Saccharomyces cerevisiae S288C: one gene and its partners. Changing the gene in region 1 together with any one later gene gives a genetic interaction. Each region holds a gene or a part of one and is shown in the gene's direction. Other genes may lie near its edges. The genes, in order: HUL4, CTS2, ETR1 and RKR1.

Region 1 (6,380 bases):
AAACTCCACCTCAGATAACCTTGTTTTGTGACGTATGCGTAATTACACTCATTATCTCTTTGAATTGGGACCAAAGTAACGATAGTGTTATCTTTCAATAGAGTTCCATCTTTAGTAGCAATGAAACTGCCATTTATTTCAAAGTCTATTCGCTCACTATCTCTGTAAACATTATTATTCACATCTGCCCAATAGATACCTTTTCTTGTAGAGTAAACTTGTCGAGGAACACTGTCTTTACTTTTGAAAAGTAGCTTCATGCAAGTGGACGCGAAAATGTCCCCACACGATCGAAATTTCAAGCACAAGTATCCCTGCCCACAGTGTAATGATCCACAAGATAAATGTGACTTGGTGTAGTTCCCTATCAAATCGGAATATAAGGTTGATTTGCAAAGAAAAGAACCAAGATGAACAAAATTACTATGCCCTTCATTTCTGACTGAATATACTGTAAGATGGCCCTTTGGGGATACCAGTATCCAACACTTCTCATTGAAAAACGCTGCAAGGTAGTGATCATGTGAGGAACCACCATTGATGGGAAGCCTCTCAAACAAGGCCTTTTCCCAGATATACGTATCGTCTTCAAAACTGCTAAGGATTGCATTCATTCTGCATGTTATTAGAATTGCAGTACTCGTCATAAATGTAAATGTTAAATGATTTAATGTGGTATCCGCTAAAATAGGCTGCAAAAGTTCGATTCTTTCCATGTTATCAGACCCAAAGGCACCAGGCCCTTGGTATATTTTGTCTACCGTTTTACCATCAATGGTCTGTTTCGATGACAATGCATGTTTAATAAAATAAGTTTTCCATGGCGTAAAAACAAAATGACCAATATTGGTGACCGATTTGAGAAGTACTTGTGAGACCGTTGCTTCCTCCACAAATGTTAAATTGGTAGTTCTTTGCCACTTCGTTCCTTTGGCTGGTTTAGACTCGAATACACACACGCATGCTTCCAACTTATATGCAACCTCATTGTGTGCACGTGTGAGAATCGACAACGTAAAGACATCCTTATCTAAGAAATCATTGAAATTGATACACGCATCTATGGATACTATCGGTGAGGATGTCACATAACTCAGCTTAACGTCTGTTTCTTCCAAACAAAAAATGTCCTCAGTAGAAATCTCGTAAATTTCAGTGCATGACAAATTAAAAACCAGAGCTGTTCGTAGTGGATCTTGGAACATGAACTTTGGCTCTGATCTTACCTGATCAATTCCTGTTTCCAGAGATTTCACTATTTTGTAATCAAGGTTGACGAAGTCCAACCGTCCCGTGGCTTTCAACAGAATATAAAATCTTCGGTTAGGTGCAGTATGATCTTTGAAATAAAAGGCTGCCATTGTATATCCGACAGTCCTAAGTCTTAACTTCTTGCGCGCTTCATCTTGTTCTACCCCTTCAAACACATCTATATATTCTAGTCCTATGACCACCAATTCTCGGCTCTGTCCTTCGAGTCCATCTTCTTCCCTAATAAAACATTTAACTACATCCGGGGGACCATCAACCTCACTTACTATAATGTTGTCAGTCATCGCTATACGAATCCTCCCTGCTGGCATGAGAAATTGGATACGCCAAGCCCTGGGCAGCCTCCTCTTTGCATCGTTTCTCTTGCTTTCATCTTTCCACTATCCAATTACCCTGACTCTCGTTCCTGTCTATCATGAGTCTCTTGTCAAGCCAACAAGTGCTTCCTTTGGAGGTATACGATTGTCTCAACTTACTATGATTATGGAGAGGAGAGCAACGCCTACGTGTCAAGACCCATCGTTAACCGAGGTCTAGCTTTAACCTTGTATCTCCTAGCACTTTTAAATAAGGCAAAAAGGGAGTAGGGTCATATCTTTCTGGGACCCTTTTTTTGTGATTGCCCCAAATAAAGGAAAAAAATGGAGGTTACAGGATTTTTTGAAGAGTCAGGTATAACCGCCCATGTGGAACAGGTAGATAGATAAATATATTCGAAGGATTGCTAGATAGGGGCAAGTTTTTGCATGCATTTCTCGACTTTAAGCAGAAAAGTACATATTTTTAAGGGCATTGGTGAAATTTACCAGGTATATCTCTCGAATACTGCGGCTGATAGGTAAAGTAAAATAGGAAATGGTTTCTTTATTTGATAAGCTTAATGCAAAAAAAGACGGTAGAGATGGATCTGTGTCGAAGGAGTTGCTATCACATTCTGTAGCCCATACTAAGAACAGGTTACCCAAATCAGGAAGGCGCACGTCGGAACGGTCCTTAGCCGCTAGTGTAAAGGACGGAAGTTGCTCAAATAGCAAAAGCAATAAGCGGAACTCTTCGGCATCCGTGTCAGGGGAAGAAGATAAATCCTGTCTAATTTCACTTAATTGCCTATGTTGTGGTGTCCCACTACGGTTTCCAGCCTCCATAACGAAATTTCGATGCAGCGCATGCCAAGTAACAGTTATTGTAAAGGAGCCGGAAATTAACAGTAATTTGGAATCTAGTACGCATATTTCGTGCACATTAGAGGGTTTGCAGATGGTAGTAAGGCGGTGCCATGATGATTTGCAGCGGCTTAAGAAGACTGGGATTCTGGATAAAGAAAGAAAGGGGTTGATTTTCCAACCGGTAATAACGTATTTACTGGACAGATTTCATGATGTTAGCATTTTAAACAGGTCGTTCTTGGTACATGATGGTGGAAAGAATATAAAGATGCTGAATTATGAAGTTTTACAAAGATTTTACAGTATATTATCAAATCTTCCTACAAGGAAACCGTATTATAGTATGCTGTGTTGCTGTAACGATCTACTGAAGAGAATAACAATCAATAAAGGGGAAAATTTGCAAATATTACAGTATCGTTGGTTGCTGATTATATTAAATATACCTACAATACGAACCTGCCTTATTAGAGATCGGAAGAGCAAAAATGTGTTTGAGACCCAACAAATAAGGGCGGTGTCTTATGAGTTGGCCAAACGATGTATTGGCTACTTGTCTAACCTATCAACAAAAACATCTCAACAATTGATTCAATCATTACGGCGAACGCCTACGGATAATTTTTCATACCAGGTAGAGATTTTAAATTTATACATCAATTTCCAATTTTCCAGATTACTGTCGAACGAATTATCAAATAGAACCGCAAAAAATAACGTGAAGCCTGAAGATGAGATGCGATCTCGTCTTCGTCGGCATCACACTACTGGCCATGAATTCCTGAGTACTAGACCAATAAGTGCACAATCAAATGATAAACAGGGAAGTGGTTTCACGCATCCCGTCAATAATAAGATGAAATTTAAATTTTTTCAATATGAGGAAGACTGGCATATTCACTCTGCAGCAAAATTGACGTTCATCTATTATGTAGCCAATACTAGAAGAAATGGCCGTGGAGCGTTGTCAATTCAAAGCTTTTACAATATAACGCTAGACTTCATAGATTATAAACAAGATTTCGATCATTGGAGAGGAGTAGCTCAAAAGACAAAAATGAATCAACTGATTGAAGAGTGGGGAAATTCGACGACAAAAAAATGTTTTTCATTCTGTAAGTATCCATTTATATTGTCACTCGGCATCAAAATCTCTATTATGGAGTATGAAATTCGCAGAATCATGGAACATGAAGCTGAACAGGCTTTTTTAATTTCACTGGATAAAGGCAAATCCGTAGACGTTTATTTCAAAATCAAAGTACGGCGTGACGTTATTTCTCATGATTCATTGAGATGTATCAAGGAACATCAAGGCGATTTATTAAAATCGCTGAGAATAGAGTTTGTTAATGAACCTGGAATTGATGCGGGAGGGTTGAGAAAAGAATGGTTTTTCTTATTAACAAAATCGCTGTTTAATCCGATGAATGGCTTATTTATTTACATAAAAGAAAGCTCACGTTCATGGTTTGCCATTGACCCTCCAAATTTTGACAAATCAAAAGGAAAAAACTCACAACTGGAATTATATTACTTGTTTGGAGTTGTCATGGGGTTGGCGATTTTCAACAGTACCATATTAGATTTACAATTTCCAAAGGCGCTTTATAAAAAACTATGCTCAGAGCCTCTGAGTTTTGAAGATTACTCGGAATTGTTTCCGGAGACAAGTAGGAACTTAATAAAAATGCTCAATTACACAGAGGATAATTTCGAAGACGTCTTTTCTTTAACATTTGAGACTACGTATCGAAATAACAACTGGATTTTAAATGACAGTAAATCGAGCAAAGAGTATGTAACGGTAGAATTATGTGAAAATGGCAGAAATGTGCCAATAACCCAAAGTAACAAGCATGAGTTTGTCATGAAATGGGTAGAATTTTATCTGGAAAAGTCCATTGAGCCACAATACAATAAATTTGTTTCAGGTTTTAAAAGGGTCTTCGCAGAATGCAATTCTATAAAATTATTTAATTCTGAAGAGCTGGAGAGATTAGTGTGTGGTGATGAGGAACAAACTAAATTTGATTTCAAATCGTTAAGATCCGTGACAAAGTATGTAGGTGGCTTCTCCGATGATTCCAGAGCGGTTTGCTGGTTTTGGGAAATTATTGAAAGTTGGGACTATCCATTGCAGAAGAAATTATTACAATTCGTAACGGCATCTGATCGTATACCTGCAACGGGTATCTCTACTATCCCATTCAAAATTAGCTTGCTAGGGTCGCATGATAGTGATGATTTGCCATTGGCTCATACATGTTTTAATGAAATATGTTTATGGAATTATTCCTCGAAAAAAAAACTAGAACTGAAATTACTTTGGGCAATTAATGAATCTGAAGGTTACGGGTTCCGCTAAGAGTCTTCAGAATATACATATACACATAACACATACATATTTTTTATAGATATTTCTATGGGTAAAGTTACGTCAAGGGTACTCTGTCCATTCTAAGTTTTCATGAAGCATTGTTATTCCTAAATTCTTCATCAAGCACCCACCCTTTACGCTCTTTATCAAACTGTGCTATGGTTTTTAATAATGCTCTAACCTTAATAACGTCTTCTTTATCAGAAAGACTGACGCCAATGCTGTTAAGTATGCTAACACTAGATGAGAAAAAGTTATTCTGTTTCTGTAAATATGCCCGAATATTTTCTAGCGTTTTGGTATTGGAATTGATTTCCTTGGATCTTGCGAAGGTTATACCATCGTCGTAATTTTCTTGGCGAGCTTCCTTGGATGCCTCTTTTTGTGATTTTGTAATATTGCCTAAAATGGCAGCTGATCCAGTTAATTTATTTTTCAACGGATCTCTCTTTCTAATTTTACCTGCTTTACCAAACCTACCTGTCCAAGTAGGTGTCCCAATTTCATATTGCTTAGTGATCTTTTTTCTCGATTTCCTTAGCGCATTAACCGCCTCAATCGCTACTCTGGAAGCCTCTTTTGTAATTATATTCGAAGAAGAACTGCCCGCGTGCGAATTGACAACCGAATCATGACTCATAACGGTTTCTAAATTGCTCTCTCCTCCTAGCAACCCTTCGATTAATCTATCATCCTCTGTTTTACTATTCTCTTTTTTTTCCTTACCGTTATAAAAGCTTTCTAGTTTAGATACGCCAGATAGGTTGACCAGTTGTTCAAAATCGTCACTTTCCTCTGATTTGGAATTTTTTAAATTTTCGGTATGTTTTTGAACTTCTTCGTTCAATTCTTCTGTAGAATAACCGTTTTCACCCCCCAGTGAAAACAGATCATGGAGTTCGTGAATTTTGAAAAATCGTTTCTGCTTAGGATCAGTCAAAATCCTGTTGGTTAAGAATTGTTTGAATATTTGTCTATGATAAATCTTCTCCTCTATTGAACCTCCTACCATCAACCTATATATTGATACCTCTCTTTTCTGCCCAATCCTCCATGCCCTTTCTCGAGCTTGCATGTCAGTAGATGGGTTCCAGTCTGGATCAAAAATGATAATTCTATTAGCACCGGTTAAATTAACACCTAGCCCCCCAACTCTTGTGGTTAGTAAGAATACATCGAAAGATTCATTGTTAAACCGGTCAACTAACGACTGTCTCCCTTTGATATTAGTTGTCCCATCCATTCGTAGGTAGTTCAAATGTGATAAATCGGGATCTTTCGTTGATATAAACTCCTCTAGAATATCGAGCATTTGTCTCGATTGAGTGAAGAGTAGGGCTTTATAGCCCTGCTTATGCCACAGTAATAATAATTGCTTGACAACCTGCATTTTTCCGGATCTTTTAGGATCACCGTAATCTGGATTATGTCTCTTTGTATCTCTGTCAAGTAAATCGGGGTGATTACATATTTTCCTTAGAATGTCGATACCAAATAGAACATTTCTCTTACCGTTTTGTATTTGGTTTAAATCTGAAGAATGCAGAAACTCCAAATATTTG
Region 2 (5,384 bases), on another chromosome or scaffold:
GCTTAAGGTGCCATCTATTATTGATGTTAACATCGTTTTGATAGTACATAGAATTTTCCCATTTTCTTTCTTATCTGTAGTTGTCAAAATCAGGTATTCTGTTGATGCTTCCAAGCTGTCAACATATTTATATAAACTATCAATGTTGTCAAATGCAAATAAATTTATATTGAACGTCCGCAGGAGAGATGATAGACGTGGTTCACTTTTGATAGTAGTTAACACTCTGATATTATTCAGCCTCATAAACTTCGAAAGCAAAATATTTGGATCAAAATCAAAAACATTGTACTCCGGATTACTAATCATATCGTTCCACATTTCATCAAATTTTAAATTAGTTTTAGATGTGGGAAGAAGAGTATTACACAATTCCATCAGAAACCGTGATTTTTTCATGGGTATAGTACTAACAAGGGCATACAATTCCCGTATGCTGTTGTCCTCGCTCTTTGGGTAATCGCTAATCATCAGATTAGCGGGAATATCATTAATAGAAATCTCAGTGGAGATACCATATTCAGAAAGCATCGTCCTGAATTGTGTCAAATGAGGAGGAATGTTCCAGACTTCATTTATCCATTCGAACTCTATACGAATAGGAGTTGTACCCAGTTCAATTATTGTGGACTTTAAAACGTCCGAGGCATTAATAGTAAATGTTTCGCCAACTTTCATGAATTTTTTATTTAATGATGTCAATTTACCCTTGTTAACTAAACACAGGCTACTGTGTTTCAGATCCGAACTATTATTGATTTCCCATTTGAATGTGATATGCTGTCTGGAAATACTTTTATCATTTTTAATTATCAGTGGGTTTTTACTTGATCTACCTATACTATAAGTTTTGAAGGCCTGAAGACAACATGATATAAAGCTAATAGAGCCATCTTCCAATGTATTCTGGTATCGTACTACCCACATAAATTTATAGTTATCACCTTCTCAGTATTGTTGCTCATCTATTACAAAATTCTGCTTATTTGGTTTACGCATTGCTTTTCATAGAAAAAAAGGGCTCCCCATATAAATTTAAGAAAAGTACTAATATTTAGCGTAGTTAACAACTTTACGAAAATGAAAATGAAATATTTCTCGGAAAAGTATTATATATTATACACGTCTCTACATTCCAAATAATTCTACGTTTCTTGGAGTAGTCTTAAGTTTAGTGATGACGATGGCGTTGTTAGTATCTATACCGATTTCAAATGATTCTGGTTTTGTACTGCTATAGTCAGAGATATTTGCCTCCACCAGCTTACAAATTGCTTCAATACAATAATGACACCATTCTACCGCAATTTGGGCATTATAGTTAAGTTCCTTTTTATTTGTAGGTAGACCTGGGTGATTGAATTTCTTACATAATAAGTCCCTTGAGTACCATTGAATGTCTAGTAATTGACCGCTATGACTGTCCCTCAAACCTATCATGATATCTGAGTTCGGTAATAAACCCGTCTGTACCCACGTTTTCAGAAGTTTTCTCCTATGATTGGAATTGTGCATTGATAATGGGGCAAAACACTTTAGTTCTGTGTTTGTCTCCGAAACAGGATTGAATGCATCCATTTCGCAGCGAATTAAAAGACCAATTTCTTCTGAAAGTTTACTCTCTACAAGAGAAAAAATAGGACATTTAGAGCCAGTTAAATCAGCGACTTTGGAATTTTCGGTTACCCAATTTTCAAATTCAAATCCTGAATAGCAAATTTTCTTCATATTTGGATCATTTGAATAAATGCCCTCTTTGGACATTTGAGAATCTTTTTTTACATTTCTGCAAAATGAAAGAAGGCCCGCCCCCATATAAGTTACAATTAGTGACGTTTGTCTATTTCGCCTGTTAAAGAGATGCATAGTCAAATCTACGATATGATGTCTTGTGGTTACAACAGTAAATTTCTTGCCGATCTTAAAATCCTTACCAGGATTATCTAGTATCCAGTTCTCAATGTATGAAAAACACGGTGATACACTATCTAATTCGGATATTGTCATGGGAACGAACTCATCAATATTAGCAAATAAGTCATGGCCTAAATACGGGACTTTCCGCTTTTTTGCCTCAAGAAGCGAGCTTTCATACAATTCAGCAATACTTTCTTTCAAATTTGGTATAAGGTCTTTGCGTAGGATTGTATAAGCCCGGCCATTGGTAAACAGAGCTACTTCTTTACTTTCATGAAATATATCTCTTGGTGGTTTCGTCAAAAAATTGTGCATACCAGTATGCAGAAAAGACGTATATGGGATACATATAAGTTTCGGACGTCTCTTTCTATAATTGTCTCTCTGTTGTGAAGGCTTCCTTGACGAAGATGAATCAGAAGTAGTTTTCTCTTTGCATAATTTACTTTGGTGTCCTCTCTCGAGATTGGGCACAGTAAGCAAATTTATACCTTCTAAATCTTTGGCCAATCCAAGAACAGCATCTTGTTCAGTTGACATAACTGAGTTTGGCTAGAAAGAAAACTTTGACATAAAATCATCGATACCTACAACTGGCGCTGTAATGCAACAATGCCATTATAAAAGTAAAACATGCTGCGAAAATTGCGGAAAAACTGGAAAAATCAATAGTGGGGTAATCCCAGTTAGTTTGACACAATAATTTGGTGATTTTGGTGGAATAATCATTATTTGTGAGGATACACCAACGAAAAGAACCTTTTGTGGTAGTATGGTCCAACAATTGTATTTGCAGGTTGGTACTAACAACCTCTATAAGTAGACGATACAAGAGTGATCATATGGTAGGACACTCAGCTCAGCACAGATCAAAAAGCAGCTTAGTGTCTCACCTACTAATACTACTTATCTTTATAACGATTATTATTGAAATGTGTTTATATAATAAAATTTTTAAGAACCAAAGGTCGGATGATATTAGAGACAACTTTAACAATGGCGGACATCGAGTTCCCAGTAATGTCCAAAATCATGGAACCCATATAAGAGACGAAGCCTTTATATCAGGGGTCTATTATTCCAATTGGTCCCCATACAAACCGAGGTTTCATTTCCCTCACGACATAAACTTGAAGCAAGTGTCTCACATTTACTATGCATTTTTCAAAATAAACTCTAGAACTGGTGGTATAGAAAACACGGATAGTTGGTCTGATCTAGAAATGAATTTGTATAAATCGCTGGCAATTAAAAATTCAGAACTAATTAAAGAAAGCTCGAACAATAGTGTCCAAAACATCCTACCCTTAGGTTGCATTGGTGAACTATTTTATTTGAAGAATACCTGTTCTGATAAGAAATTTAAAGTTATCATGTCAATTGGGGGCTGGTCTGATAGTGAAAATTTCAAAATCATAATTAAAGATGATAAACTCTTACAAAATTTTGTTGATTCGTCGGTGGAAACAATGTTCAGATTAGGATTTGATGGCATTGATCTAGACTGGGAGTTCCCTGGTAACAATGAATCAGAACCTCGCGGATATCTGAAACTGGTCAGAATGCTGCGATTAAAACTAAACAGCCTCGAATCCCAAATATTTGGGAAACGTACTGAAGATCATTTTCAATTATCTATTGCGGCACCTGCATTCAAGGATAAATTATTTTACTTGCCAATCACAGAAATTGATCAATATGTTGACTACTGGAATATGATGACGTACGATTATTATGGCTCGTGGTCAGAAACAACAGGATATCACAGCAATCTATTCAGTGAGACGGAATTGAATGGAAACTTTGCCATGCATTATATGATCGATAGATTTGGCGTCAATTCTAGAAAATTAGTACTGGGAATGGCCGCCTACGGAAGAAGTTTCCATATCAAAGATAACAAATTCGAACCATTCAATCAAAATACTGTATTAATTAACAAAATTTTCAAAGGAGTGGGCAAGCCCACTAAAGAAATAGATAAAGCTGATGGCAAGGAGGGCATCTGGCCTTACAAAAATTTACCAAAGATTGGTACAATAGAACAATACGATCCAAAATATGTTTCAGCATATTGCTTTGATGAAAAAAATTCAATATTTATCAGTTATGATAACACTAAATCAGTCAAAACTAAGGCTGAATATGTGACACATAACAATTTAGGCGGAGGCTTTTGGTGGGAGTCATGTGGTGAAGCTTATGCAAATGAGTCAAGGTCGTTGATAAACGCATTTAATGAAGGCTTGCACTTTAATGTGTCATCAAAACCATCAATATTTCAAGATGTGAGAGTTAAAAAATATTACTTGAATAAATATGGCGATGGCGGATTTTTATCTCCATATTTAAAGCATTTGGATTCAAGAAAGCAATGAATACGAATGTGGGCGTATATAATAACAAAAAGTTTGGTCTATTTATTATCCACTCCGTATATGTATATACATATATACAAATTTCGTTTATTAATGTTAGAGGCTTATAAAAAAAAGCTTGACTTTTCCTTATGTTTCAAAGAGAGGATTTTTGTTGTTATTTTCATAATAGCATATCCATTCTTGAAAAGACTTCAAATACACCAGCAATAACTTCCAATTGTAAATCATGACCAGGATTGTTTTCTATCTCTTCTTTAACTTCCTTGTTTAAATTAACGGAGACACCTAACTCAGTTTCCTTTTCTAAATCAAATGGGTATTGCGAAAATTGTGCCATTATTTCTTCAGCTCTACTAATTGCCTTATCTCTCTTCTCATATTCCAACGTAGTCAGGACATTCTCCAATACGTTTGCCCCATATGATCCACATATTAAAGCTAAAGTTCTAATGATTTTGAAAGATGTTGTCTCCGGAAAATATTCATTGTAACTTAATTCCATGTTCCTCGATACGAGTACAGAAAGTACTCTGCGCTTAATGGCTTCTTTGCAGCTGGCGTCTGCAATGGGGTGTGTCGCCATGTCAAACAAAAAGAAATTTTTCATTTCTGTTCTCAATACACCTTTATCGACCAAACCTTTTGCCAATCTTTCCCTTACTTGTTTCAATTGATAGTTGATCTTTAAAAGGTTCCATGTTTCACCACTTAAAAGATCAATCCAGTTAGAAATTGACAAAGGTTCGTCGTTTTTCATCAATTGCAAAGTTTCATCCAGTAAAACTTCCCCAGTTTTGGAACTGTCAATAACTTCAATCAACCTTTCGGAAAGATCGAACCTTTTCCTGGCGGAATCATCTAAGATTCTGATTTTACCTCTTAACGCTAATTCTATAATTATACAACCACGCAAAGCATATGAAATACTATCATTCCAAAACGACAAATATCCTTCTCTATCTCTTAAGCCCATCAATAAGACTTCTTCCATCAACGTTAACGTAGGGATATTGATGTTGTCTCTCAATTTCGATTCTTCTGGGTCATATGCAATCTTTTTGTTTGTTCCATTGTCATCATCCCCGT
Region 3 (4,740 bases), on another chromosome or scaffold:
AGAACTTCATCGTGTGTCACTAGATGATAAAAAGAATGACATTAAAGTAGATTATTCCTCGGCAATATACAATGATATCAATCATGAACAAGGCAGCTCCATCACATATGAGGAGAGTATAAATCACCTCTCGGTTCATTCAAATGCGATTCCGCTAAATGGCATGAGTCCTGCACATAGGATGAGAAGAAGGTCCTCAGCTTATTCCAAATTCCCTATTCTCACTCCACCAAATACGAGAAGATTTTCTATTACAGGTTCGGACGCAATGCGAACTAATACGAATAGACTATCCATAACACCTCAGGACATTATTTCCTCTAATATTGGAGAAAATGAATTATCAAGGAACCTGCACGATTTTAAGCCCGTGAGAGTCCTAGGCCAAGGTGCCTACGGTAAAGTTCTTCTTGTTAAGGACGTCAATACATCCAAGCTGTATGCTATGAAGCAATTACGGAAAGCAGAAATTTTAATTTCTCAAACAGCCACAGATTCCAAGAGAGAAGACGAAGATAAAAATGATGGTAATAACAACGATAATGACGATGGATTATCAAAGAGGCTTGAGAGAACATTTGCCGAACGGTCTATTCTATCTGAAATAGAACATCCAAACATTGTCAAGTTATTTTATTCTTTTCACGATAACTCAAAGTTATATTTACTGCTACAATATATCCCTGGCGGTGAACTATTTTACCACTTGAAGGAACACGGGACCCTAGATGAGACGACAGTTTCGTTTTACGCGGCAGAAATCAGCTGTGCCTTGAGATTTTTGCATACGAAAGGTGTTGTCTATAGAGATTTAAAACCTGAAAACTGTTTATTGAATCAACGTGGACATTTAGTATTGACAGATTTTGGTCTGAGTAAAAAAAGTGCTAATGATTCCGCGGTTGATGAGGAGGATCCAGAGAACGTCAATGCCCTATACTCGATTATCGGTACGCCTGAATACTGTGCGCCTGAAATATTATTAGGTAAAGCTTACAGTCAGAATTGTGATTGGTATTCTTTGGGATGTCTGTTGTATGACATGTTAGTAGGTAAGCCTCCATATACTGGTAGCAATCATAAGGTGATCATTAATAAGATTCAACAAAACAAGCAAGGCCCCAAAATTCCATTTTATCTGAGCGAGGGAATGAAAGATATATTAAACGCGCTGTTGAAGAAGGAAACTGCCAAAAGGTGGAATGTTGACAAATACTGGGCCAAAACCGGGGCTAATAATAAGCCTACTAAGTCTAAGAAGAAGAAATCAGGGGCTGCAAGAACTAGTCTTTTCACTGAACATTTTATCTTTAGAAAAATAGACTGGAAGTTATTAGAATCTGGACAATTGCAAAAAACCACTCTAGGCCCAATTGTTCCAGTTATTACGGATTTGGAACTAGCGGAAAATTTTGACACAGAATTTACTTCTATGTCATATGAGGAAACCTATACGGATAGCAAGCCGATTAATATCAATTCGGTGAGCAAGTCCCCGGATATGTTCAAGGGATTTAGTTATAAAGCAAGTGGTAGCTATTTGGAGAAGTACTTTTGAATTAAAAGTTAGATAGATTAAGAGAGAAGGCTCGGATCTGCACTGACTTACTTTTTTTTGTTTTTTTGATGTTTAAAGGATCTGTGTCACTGTATATACTTTGTTTTGCTTTAGGGTTACGAAACACATTTTTAATATATAATGTATGTAATAATATTAAAAACAACTGTATGGATAATACTTCTGGACCAATCGGTGATACCATCTTCCTTATTTATGGTATTATTATCATTATTGGACCCCGCCGGTGCTTTTTTTTTTACCTTAAAAGAGTGGTTCTCCTCCAAGGGACGCACGAGTGGTGTACCCAGGGGTTGTTTCCATGGCTAAAGAAATTGGAGATTACAAACGTACATTGTCATTTAAGAAGGTTCATAATCTGCCAATTACATTTGATATAACAAGATGCTTCCCACATTCAAACGTTACATGTCGTCCTCAGCTCATCAGATTCCCAAGCACTTCAAATCGCTCATCTATTCAACTCATGAAGTTGAGGATTGTACCAAGGTTTTGTCAGTGAAAAATTATACGCCTAAACAAGACTTATCTCAATCAATTGTGTTAAAAACTTTGGCCTTTCCCATAAACCCTTCGGATATCAATCAGTTGCAAGGAGTATACCCGTCTCGTCCAGAAAAGACATACGATTACTCCACAGATGAGCCAGCCGCTATCGCCGGTAATGAGGGTGTCTTTGAAGTTGTTTCTTTACCTTCGGGAAGTTCCAAGGGAGATTTGAAATTGGGTGACCGAGTTATCCCATTGCAGGCAAATCAAGGGACTTGGTCCAATTATAGAGTTTTCTCTAGTAGTTCTGATTTAATCAAGGTAAATGATTTGGATCTGTTTTCTGCGGCAACTGTATCTGTTAATGGTTGTACCGGTTTCCAATTAGTATCAGACTATATCGACTGGAACAGTAACGGTAATGAATGGATTATCCAAAATGCCGGTACATCTAGTGTATCAAAAATAGTTACGCAAGTAGCAAAAGCTAAAGGGATCAAAACATTAAGTGTTATACGTGACCGTGATAATTTTGATGAGGTAGCAAAAGTTTTGGAGGATAAGTATGGTGCTACGAAGGTTATTTCCGAATCGCAAAACAACGACAAGACTTTTGCCAAAGAAGTATTGTCCAAGATTTTGGGTGAAAATGCAAGGGTGAGGCTTGCCTTGAATTCTGTTGGAGGTAAATCCAGTGCATCAATAGCACGTAAGTTGGAAAATAATGCTTTGATGCTCACTTATGGAGGAATGTCAAAACAACCTGTAACTTTACCAACATCTCTACACATTTTCAAAGGCTTGACATCCAAAGGGTACTGGGTGACTGAAAAGAACAAAAAAAACCCCCAAAGCAAGATTGACACCATCAGTGATTTTATCAAAATGTATAATTATGGTCACATTATTTCACCAAGAGATGAAATTGAAACTCTTACCTGGAATACTAACACTACTACTGACGAACAGTTACTAGAACTAGTCAAAAAAGGTATAACTGGGAAGGGGAAGAAAAAAATGGTTGTTTTAGAATGGTAAGGGCCTTAGCATTGCTCAGAGTTAGACAACCACCAAAGATAGTATTCCTCTTTATGACATCGAGTATAGTTGCTATATAATATATACCAAGACATTAAAAAATATATGCCAGTGCTATCTTTGTAGGAGCTAATAAAAGGGGACGTCGACCCTTCAATGTATATATCGATCCTTTCACATTAGTCAGGACGAGATAATGAGCATGATGTATAAACAAACGGTAGTTAATACCAACGATAAGTTATACAACTACTGTACAATAAAAAAACATCACAATAGCAATACAGGAGTCCTATTCGCTACTTCAACTTGACAAGATCTACTAGATATAGAAATATCTAGCTTAATCAACAATTTTCCTCACTGATTGCTTCCTCCGAATGCCATTATTGGCTTTCTTGGTTCTTAAGCATGATATTACGTATAAATAGCCATTATATCAATTAGAACAAAAGATTACGTAAATGCAATTTTTCCTGAGAATGGCGTTCGAAGAAGGGCGCGTAACTCGTAGAAACCTAAGAATTCTCGTAGAGCGAAGTCTTCGGTAGGAAACGTAGTAGATTTGCAGAAGATACGCCTGTTAAACTGAAGAAAACAAATCTGAGTAGTTTCCCTTCTTTGGAGTTGAGCTTTACAACAAGTTCATATTGTTGGTGCCAATTTGCCTTGAGACAACTAAGGCAGAATGCAGTTGTTGCGTGTTACTTAATTCTCCGTATTGAATGACCACGCACAATTCCTAATTTTTTTTTTTTCTCGAAAATTCTTTTTTTTTTCACTGAAAAAATTTTTTCAAGGGCCATCCCAGCGATTTTATGACCCAAAAGGAAGGATGCAGTGAAAGTCAACTTACGTCTTCTCTCTCATACCTTTCGTTGCGAGAAATCGTATTTAGTAGTGTATTCAGTTGATAATTAGTACTAATTTTTTATTGCATTTTGCCTTTTTTAGCTTTTTGTGTTACTTCTAGTATCCGTAAAAACAATCAAATAAATAGCACTGTAAAACATGCCTCCAAAGAAGCAAGTCGAAGAAAAAAAGGTCTTATTGGGTCGTCCAGGTAATAACTTGAAAGCCGGTATTGTCGGTTTGGCCAATGTTGGTAAGTCTACCTTTTTCCAAGCCATCACTAGATGTCCATTGGGTAACCCAGCTAACTATCCATTCGCTACCATTGATCCAGAAGAAGCCCGTGTTATTGTCCCATCTCCAAGATTTGATAAGTTGTGTGAAATCTACAAGAAGACAGCTTCGGAAGTTCCAGCTCATTTGACCGTTTACGATATTGCTGGTTTGACTAAGGGTGCCTCTGCTGGTGAAGGTTTGGGTAATGCTTTCTTGTCTCACATCAGATCAGTCGATTCTATCTACCAAGTCGTTCGTTGTTTCGATGATGCTGAAATTATCCACGTTGAGGGTGACGTTGATCCAGTTCGTGATTTAGAAATTATTAACCAAGAACTAAGATTGAAAGATATTGAATTCGCACAAAAGGCTTTGGAAGGTGCTGAAAAGATTGCCAAAAGAGGTGGTCAATCTTTGGAAGTCAAACAAAAGAAGGAAGAAATGGATTTGATTACGAAAATCATTAAATTGCTAGAGAGTGGTCAAAGAGTTGCTAATCACTCCTG
Region 4 (8,274 bases), on another chromosome or scaffold:
CCTGCGTGATAAAAACTATCTGAACACGTAGATGCGGCTACATATATAGAAAGTCAGCAGTTGATTCCGGAAGAATCCAGAGTACTATATGGTAGACTGGATTTATCTGTCCATATTTGCGGGCTTGATATTCGGATAGCATTGAGGCAGAGACAATATACAGTTTTTGGGTTAATTCTTGGCCTTGTGCTATAGCTAGCACGTCGTCGAATCCTAAGACCTTGTTTGAAAAGAATCGTCCAAAATGGGAGAACTGGCGCCAATGAATAAACCAGACGAAGGTATCACGAACATGTGCCAAAGCTTGTACCGGTACCAAATTATGCGAATGTCAGTCAGTAACAATGTCAGACCCTACTATCAACCCAGATGTAGCTCAAGTGGAACCTACTGTTCTCTCAAGCTTTTTAATAGAAACGCTCATAGAATATCATAGAGAGTTCAATAATAGCGGTATCATAGTTTATCTGATAACGTGCAAACTGTCCTGATCATGAAGCGGAGTTGAATGACAGGGTGATGGAATTGATGGCTAGTTGCTTTCGTATGCCTCGGTATAGGCATGCTAATGACACCCTAGGGTGGCTATTAGTATGTTGCAATGCCGAGAGGAGGTTGAATAACAATACCATTACATCAGCCGATAATATAGTGCATTGTATCAGCAAAATTAAGCAGTCAATTTATTTTTTTATCATTTAATGGCGATGGTTGGATAATTGTCTAAGAACAGTATTGAGTATTGCAATAAACCACTAAGGTTAGCCTCACGGCCAAACTATGTTGGTATCACTGTTACTAACAAGGTGGTTGTGTACGTGAAGGCAGATTGGCCTCAGAAGGCTCTTACCATTAAATAACAAGGCCATTATTCCACTCAATAGCTTGGCACTTGCACATTTGTGTGCCATTTACACTGAATGATTCATCTTTTTGATATCATGCAATATAATAATACAGGTGATAGAATGCGAAAAGCACGGGAAATAGGTGACTTTTGAGATAGTTGTTGAATACCATTTCCATAACAATACAATTTGGACAACATTATCTTATACCGAATATACCTTAAGTTTTACTCGAAAATATAGGAATCCATAAAAGGATCGATGATTCTTCATAATAATATTATGGTTTCTCGTTCCACTTTATATGTTGTCACTCATTATCCTATTGCATTATCAAGTCGTGCGTTCCACCCCCATTAAATTTGATGGCAGCTTTTAAATCTTTACCTTTATGCCATATTTCTACGTCGTATATGTAATAAGATGGATGCTAGACTATAGGGGGTAGGTGGTTCCTCTTCCGACATGTAGAGAATGTGGATTTTGATGTAATTGTTGGGATTCCATTGTGATTAAGGCTATAATATTAGGTATGTAGATATACTAGAAGTTCTCCTCGAGGATTTAGGAATCCATAAAAGGGAATCTGCAATTCTACACAATTCTATAAATATTATTATCATCGTTTTATATGTTAATATTCATTGATCCTATTACATTATCAATCCTTGCGTTTCAGCTTCCACTAATTTAGATGACTATTTCTCATCATTTGCGTCATCTTCTAACACCGTATATGATAATATACTAGTAACGTAAATACTAGTTAGTAGATGATAGTTGATTTTTATTCCAACACGACAATCATGAGTAATTACTTGATAGTGGATAGTAAGTTTTGATAGACACTTCCATTTTAAACTGATTTCACTTTTTACAGTGGCTAGAAATTACAATAAGAAATGGGCGTGTGGCGTAGTCGGTAGCGCGCTCCCTTAGCATGGGAGAGGTCTCCGGTTCGATTCCGGACTCGTCCAAATTTTTTGCTACTTTGCAATTAGTGTAACTTCATATTTAAAATTATAGTTAATCAAGAACAGAATATCGTCACAATGCTCTTTAAATGTTACGTACTTCTTACCTCCAGCTTGACTATATACTTGTCAATTCGAGTTAACCCAGATTATGCCCCAACATGGAAAACTGAAAAATATTGATGAAGCGAGGAAAAAAAACGTCATAGGAAAAATTCAAATGTTGCAACTTCAGATGGTTTTCTTCAATATATACAATACTGAAGAAGTCCTTCTTAATAGTTCAAATCTGCTAAGCCATCAAAAAAAGTTCAAGCAATAGTTGGTTCTTAATGTCGTTTGGTGGAATCAATACATTTCAACAGTATAACACAGATTTAGGGCTCGGCCATAATGGTGTTAGAATATCCTTAAACTACTTTGATGGTTTGCCGGATCCAAGTCTTTTAAACTCCTTGTACTCGAACGAGCTGAAACTCATTTTCAAATCTCTTCTGAAAAGAGATGAAACTACAAAAGAAAAAGCTTTAATGGATCTTTCCAATTTGATCAGCGACTTTAACCAGAATGAGTACTTTTTCAATGACATTTTTCTTCTTTGTTGGTCGCAGATATATGCTAAACTGATAATTAGTGATTACAAGGTCATCAGACTGCAATCACATCAAATTACTATAATGCTTGTCAAAAGCCTTCGGAAGAAAATATCGAAGTTTTTAAAGGATTTTATACCTTTGATACTTCTCGGTACATGCGAACTCGATTATAGTGTTTCCAAACCTTCTCTTAATGAATTAACAGAGTGTTTCAACAAAGACCCAGCAAAAATTAACGCCTTATGGGCTGTTTTTCAAGAACAACTATTGAATTTAGTAAAGGAGATTGTTGTAAACGAGAATGAAGATACCATTTCTGATGAACGTTACTCCAGTAAAGAAGAATCTGAGTTTAGATACCACAGAGTTATAGCAAGTGCCGTATTGCTGCTGATTAAGCTTTTTGTTCATAACAAAGACGTCTCAGAACGTAATTCTTCCAGTCTTAAGGTGATTCTTTCTGATGAGTCAATCTGGAAACTACTTAACTTAAAAAATGGGCAAAATACAAATGCCTACGAAACAGTTCTTCGATTGATTGATGTTCTTTATACAAGAGGTTACATGCCTTCCCACAAAAATATAATGAAGTTAGCGGTGAAAAAACTATTGAAATCGTTGACTCATATTACGTCAAAGAATATTCTAAAAGTATGCCCTGTTCTCCCATCAATACTGAACCTTTTAGCTACCTTGGATGACTATGAAGATGGGACAATATGGTCATACGATAAATCTTCTAAAGAAAAAGTACTCAAATTTTTATCGGTTTCCCGTACTTCACCATCGCCAGGATTTTTCAATGCTGTGTTTGCATTGTACAGCTCGACTAAAAGACACAGTTTTCTTGATTATTATCTTGAATGGCTTCCATTTTGGCAAAAATCGGTGCAAAGACTGAATGAAAAGGGCTTTTCTGCGAGAAACAGCGCTGAGGTTCTTAATGAGTTTTGGACAAATTTTTTGAAGTTCGCTGAGGATTCATCAGAAGAAAGAGTGAAAAAAATGGTGGAAAGTGAGATTTTTAACTCTCTGTCTTGCGGGAAATCTTTATCTGAGTACACAAAACTGAACCAGACTCTTAGTGGCGTCTTTCCACCCGATAAATGGGAGAGAGAGATTGAAGATTACTTCACTTCAGACGAAGACATAAGAAAAATAAAGGTGAGCTTTGAGAAGAATCTTTTTGCTTTATTGGTTACTTCTCCTAATAACGAATCCGCAATTAGTCGTTTATTCGATTTTTTTGTGCAATTAATCGAAACAGATCCCTCAAATGTTTTCAACAAATACGACGGTGTATATGATGCTCTCAATTACTTTTTAGATTCAGATATGATTTTCTTGAATGGGAAGATAGGGAAATTTATAAACGAAATTCCAACGTTGGTCCAAGAATCAACATATCAAAACTTTGCTGGTATCATGGCACAGTACTCAAACTCCAAATTTTTCAAAATGAATACTGACGCGATTACTTCGTTGGAAGACTTTTTTATCGTTGCGCTTTCTTTTAACTTACCAAAGACAATAATTTTAGCCACAATGAATGAGTTGGACAATGATATTTATCAACAATTAATGAAATCAGATTCCCTAGAATTAGAATTGTACATTGAAGACTTTATGAAAAATTATAAGTTTGACGACAGTGGGGAAATATTTAAAGGTAATAATAAATTTTTAAATCAAAGGACTATCACCACACTTTACCGAAGCGCAGTTGCCAATGGCCAAGTTGAACAATTTTGTGCTGTTTTGTCTAAATTAGATGAAACTTTTTTTTCAACGTTATTGCTGAATACCGATTTTCTTTCTTGTGCATTGTATGAAGTTTCAGAAGACACTAATGAGAAACTATTCAAGTTGTCATTACAGTTGGCTAAAGGGAATTCTGAAATCGCTAATAAGTTGGCCCAAGTGATTTTGCAACATGCTCAGGTTTATTTCAGCCCCGGGGCAAAAGAAAAATATGTCACACACGCCGTGGAGCTAATTAATGGCTGCAACGATACTTCTCAGATTTTTTTTCCCGCTAACGCAATCGAAGTTTTTGCCAGATATATGCCAGCAATTGATTATAGGTCATCCTTAGTGAGCAGCTTAAGTACTAACACGCATTTGCTCCTTACAGATGATAAGCCTATCAATTTAAAAAATATGCAAAAGCTCATCAGGTATGCTCTATTCTTAGATGCCCTACTTGATGCTCTTCCAGAGCGCGTTAATAACCATATTGTTGCATTTATAACTGTAGTTTCTGAGCTCGTCACTGATTATAATTGCCTTTCAGAGGAACCAAATGATCTTTACTATGATTTTGGGCATACCTTTTTCAAACATGGCAAAGTAAATTTGAACTTTTCTGATATTGTTGGAAACGTTATTCAGCCTGCTAATGGTGGTGATGCTATGCTTACTTTTGATATTGCTGAAAGTAATTCTGTCTACTTTTTTTATTATTCAAGAGTATTATATAAGGTTCTATTGAACAGCATTGATACTGTTTCATCCACCACATTAAATGGGCTATTAGCATCGGTTGAAAGTTTTGTCACGAAAACTGTGAGGGATCAAAAATCTACTGATAAAGATTATCTCCTATGTGCTATATTACTATTGATGTTTAACAGGTCCAACTCAAAAGATGAGATAACGAAATTAAGGACATTGCTGGCATCTCAATTGATTGGGATTAGAGAAGTAGAACTTGTCGATCAAGAATTCAAGTCGTTAGCTCTTTTAAATAATCTGCTGGATATCCCACAGGCAGATAAACAGTTTGTTCCTATAGCACCGCAGAGACTGAACATGATATTCCGTTCAATACTAAAATGGTTGGATAGTGATCTTGCCTACGAGCCTAGCTTTAGCACCGTTAGATTGTTACTACTAGATTTTTTCACCAAACTGATGAGGTTTGAAGGAGTCAGAGATATGGGCATAACAGCTTTTGAACTTTCGGAAAGGTTGCTGGCAGACTCTCTATCGATGTGTCAAATTGATGACACTTTATATTTGTTAGAACTTCGCTCTTCCTGTTTGAACTTATATGAAACATTGTCGCAAGGCGTTTCCAAAAATGGCGAGGAAATCTCAGAATATGGTGATGAAATTCAAGAAAATTTGATTGAACTGATGTTTCTCAACTTTAATCAAGAAAGAAATAACCAAGTATCCACACTCTTCTACCAGAAATTGTACAAGGTCATTTCCTCAATGGAACTCAAAAAGTTAGAATCTCAATACAAAAGAATATTCGAGGTTGTATTGAATGATAAGGATATCGGTAGTAATATTAATCAATCAAGATTATTAACTACTTTGTTGGGTTCTTTGGTGGTAAAAACACAGCAGGATATTATAATTGAGTATGAACTGAGGATTCAAAAACAAACTGGCTCAGACGTAGATGGTAGTGCATCTGATAATGATGTAAACTCAAAATTTAAACTACCTCAAAAATTATTACAAAAAGTTACTGATGAGGTGCCAAAAGAATACCTTGAATACGAGAATAAAAATTCATTTATTAAATATCTATGGTATTGGCACTTGATACTGATGTACTTCAAAGATACGTCTTATAATATGAGACAAATATTTATTGAACAATTAAAGGAAGCTGGTTTAATCAATAGAATGTTTGATTTCATAACAGATCAAATAGATTTAAGAGATACTGAGTTTTGGAAACAGGTCGACACCAAGGAAATTTCGGAATACAACATTGTCGGCAATAATTTCTCTCCTTATAAAGAAGACATATTTGAAGAATGTAAAAAACTTTTGGGCCATACACTTTATCAGTTGTTTAACAACGTCGGTTGTCTAACGAGTATTTGGTGGTTAAATATAAAAGATAGGACATTACAAAATGATATTGAAAAGTTTGTCTCAGAGTTCATCTCCCCAATTTTGATCAAAAATGAATTTGACGATATCAATTCTAAGATGGACCGCCTGACTTCTAATGATGATGCTTTGACTATTAAATTAAATAATATTACTAATGAAGTGAAGGCAAGCTATTTGATTGACGACCAAAAGTTGGAGATTTCCTTCAAACTACCAAAAAACTACCCTTTAACAAATATCCAAGTTAATGGCGTCTCTAGAGTTGGTATAAGTGAACAAAAATGGAAACAATGGATAATGTCTACACAACATGTAATTACAGGCATGAATGGATCCGTTTTGGATTCGTTGGAGTTGTTTACTAAAAATGTGCACTTACAATTTTCTGGTTTCGAGGAATGTGCCATATGTTACTCTATACTACATGCCGTGGATAGGAAACTACCTTCGAAGACATGTCCGACTTGTAAAAATAAGTTCCACGGAGCATGTCTTTACAAGTGGTTTCGATCATCGGGTAACAATACATGTCCATTATGCCGTAGTGAAATTCCATTTAGAAGGTAGACTATCGCATATAAATTTCATATAAATGTACTACATTTTTTAAACAAAGTTCCTTTTATTATTGTGCTCTCTTACAAATTATACAATCCAGCCCTATACCTTGCCAATCCAGCCCATCACCCGGATATTCTGGAAATTTTTTCTCTTCAGGATTTTTTCAGGATAAAAATCGAACTTGAAAGAAGAATGGTTTTTAGTTCAGGCCTTGTTTTCAGTTTTTAGCTACTAAAAGAGGGATAACCATTGATGAAATTCTATTGAATGTCCCCAATTTTCGGAAAAGGACTGCACCGAAATATTTCAATCAAAATCATTTATCGTTTTGTTTAGCTATTTTTTTCTCAAATTATCACTCTTTTCTTCCTTTTTCATTCTCTCAATTGTTCTTTTTATTTGAGGAAATTTGATTGTATTGCATATACAACTATGCGATGCACTTTGTTCATTTTAACTTTGGATATATGTGCCTTGCTATGAACGCGTTCATTTTTAAGTGACCGGACCCTAAAATATTCAGGTAGCATGACGGAAGCTATGAATTAATCCTGGTGGAGGGGTGTGTTCAGTTTGAGGGAGGATGATAAAATGGAACGGAGATTGCAAGGAGACGTAGAAAATAAAGTAGGAGCAAATGGATTTTCTGCTTGGCGGTATAGCACGTTTGAGTTTTTCAGTCGTGTCTATGTTCAGGTTTATGATATGCTGTGGTTGATTCTGTTGATTCACACGTTTCGCTTCCATATAGTGTGTTAACGGAAACTCCATGTTAAGGTTTATTATAAGAAAATTTTTTGAATTTGTTCTTTTTATATTGGTTTACTCTCCTCGTGATTTCTTTTCTTTTTTTATCGTCATCCTCTCTGAATGTATTTATTACGCATGGCTTTTATTCATTGCTTTCTAACTGTGATGGGAGTTTTTTTCTTGTTGCATAAATGAACGTGGGCGAGGTTTTTATTTTCAAACTTGGTGTACTATAGTGCAATGCGTTGTTAATTGTAATACGATGTTTCTTCGATAAAAGGAGCGGAGGGAGAAGGTGAAATTACGAAGGAAAGAAAGAGATGAGAAATCAAGAATGAAGCAAGACATTGATTGATATGGTTGTTTTCGGTGCATGTTTGATTACTAAAAGTTGGGGCATTCGATGGTTTACAGAAGTCATAAATTCAAATATCCCGTTTAATCGCTCATCTATTAAAATCAATAGTAGAATGTAGTTTCATACCCGGGAGAAATTCATAGTTTAGATCACGCTTAATAATGTCAATCTTGTCTTGCTGAAATGAAACTTAAACATGTTTATGTGTAATGTTATTTATTAATTATTAACTGTATCTGTAGGAGAAGAAACTATGTATTGTGCAAGTAGTTCAGGTGTTTGCAAATTGATGCTCTTAGAAAATGAAACGTAGTGTTTATGAAGGGCAG

What was found.
Region 2: mutations in HUL4 (region 1) and CTS2 together harm fitness less than expected from each alone (positive genetic interaction), as found in Saccharomyces cerevisiae (2 studies listed by BioGRID).
Region 3: mutations in HUL4 (region 1) and ETR1 together harm fitness more than expected from each alone (negative genetic interaction), as found in Saccharomyces cerevisiae (2 studies listed by BioGRID).
Region 4: of HUL4 (region 1) and RKR1, changing one enhances a phenotype caused by changing the other (phenotypic enhancement), as found in Saccharomyces cerevisiae (one study listed by BioGRID).

The regions. Positions count from the first base shown.
Region 1 is NC_001142.9:499,139-505,518, reverse strand, and holds HUL4 (putative E3 ubiquitin-protein ligase HUL4), read left to right. Parts: upstream 1-2,127; coding exon 2,128-4,806; downstream 4,807-6,380. Other genes in the region: MLO127 (Mlo127p), read right to left, coding at 1-1,583; DNA-dependent ATPase RAD26, read right to left, coding at 4,907-6,380.
Region 2 is NC_001136.10:1,216,654-1,222,037, forward strand, and holds CTS2 (putative chitinase), read left to right. Parts: upstream 1-2,759; coding exon 2,760-4,295; downstream 4,296-5,384. Other genes in the region: XRS2 (Xrs2p), read right to left, coding at 1-927; DXO1 (Dxo1p), read right to left, coding at 1,129-2,457; VPS74 (Vps74p), read right to left, coding at 4,459-5,384.
Region 3 is NC_001134.8:291,243-295,982, reverse strand, and holds ETR1 (enoyl-[acyl-carrier-protein] reductase), read left to right. Parts: upstream 1-1,963; coding exon 1,964-3,106; downstream 3,107-4,740. Other genes in the region: putative protein kinase YPK3, read left to right, coding at 1-1,558; YBR027C (uncharacterized protein), read left to right, coding at 1,627-1,959; OLA1 (Obg-like ATPase), read left to right, coding at 4,118-4,740. UniProt on the Saccharomyces cerevisiae protein: Catalyzes the NADPH-dependent reduction of trans-2-enoyl thioesters in mitochondrial fatty acid synthesis (fatty acid synthesis type II).
Region 4 is NC_001145.3:761,920-770,193, reverse strand, and holds RKR1 (ubiquitin-protein ligase RKR1), read left to right. Parts: upstream 1-2,154; coding exon 2,155-6,843; downstream 6,844-8,274. Other genes in the region: YMR247W-A (uncharacterized protein), read right to left, coding at 768-911. UniProt on the Saccharomyces cerevisiae protein: E3 ubiquitin-protein ligase component of the ribosome quality control complex (RQC), a ribosome-associated complex that mediates ubiquitination and extraction of incompletely synthesized nascent chains for proteasomal degradation.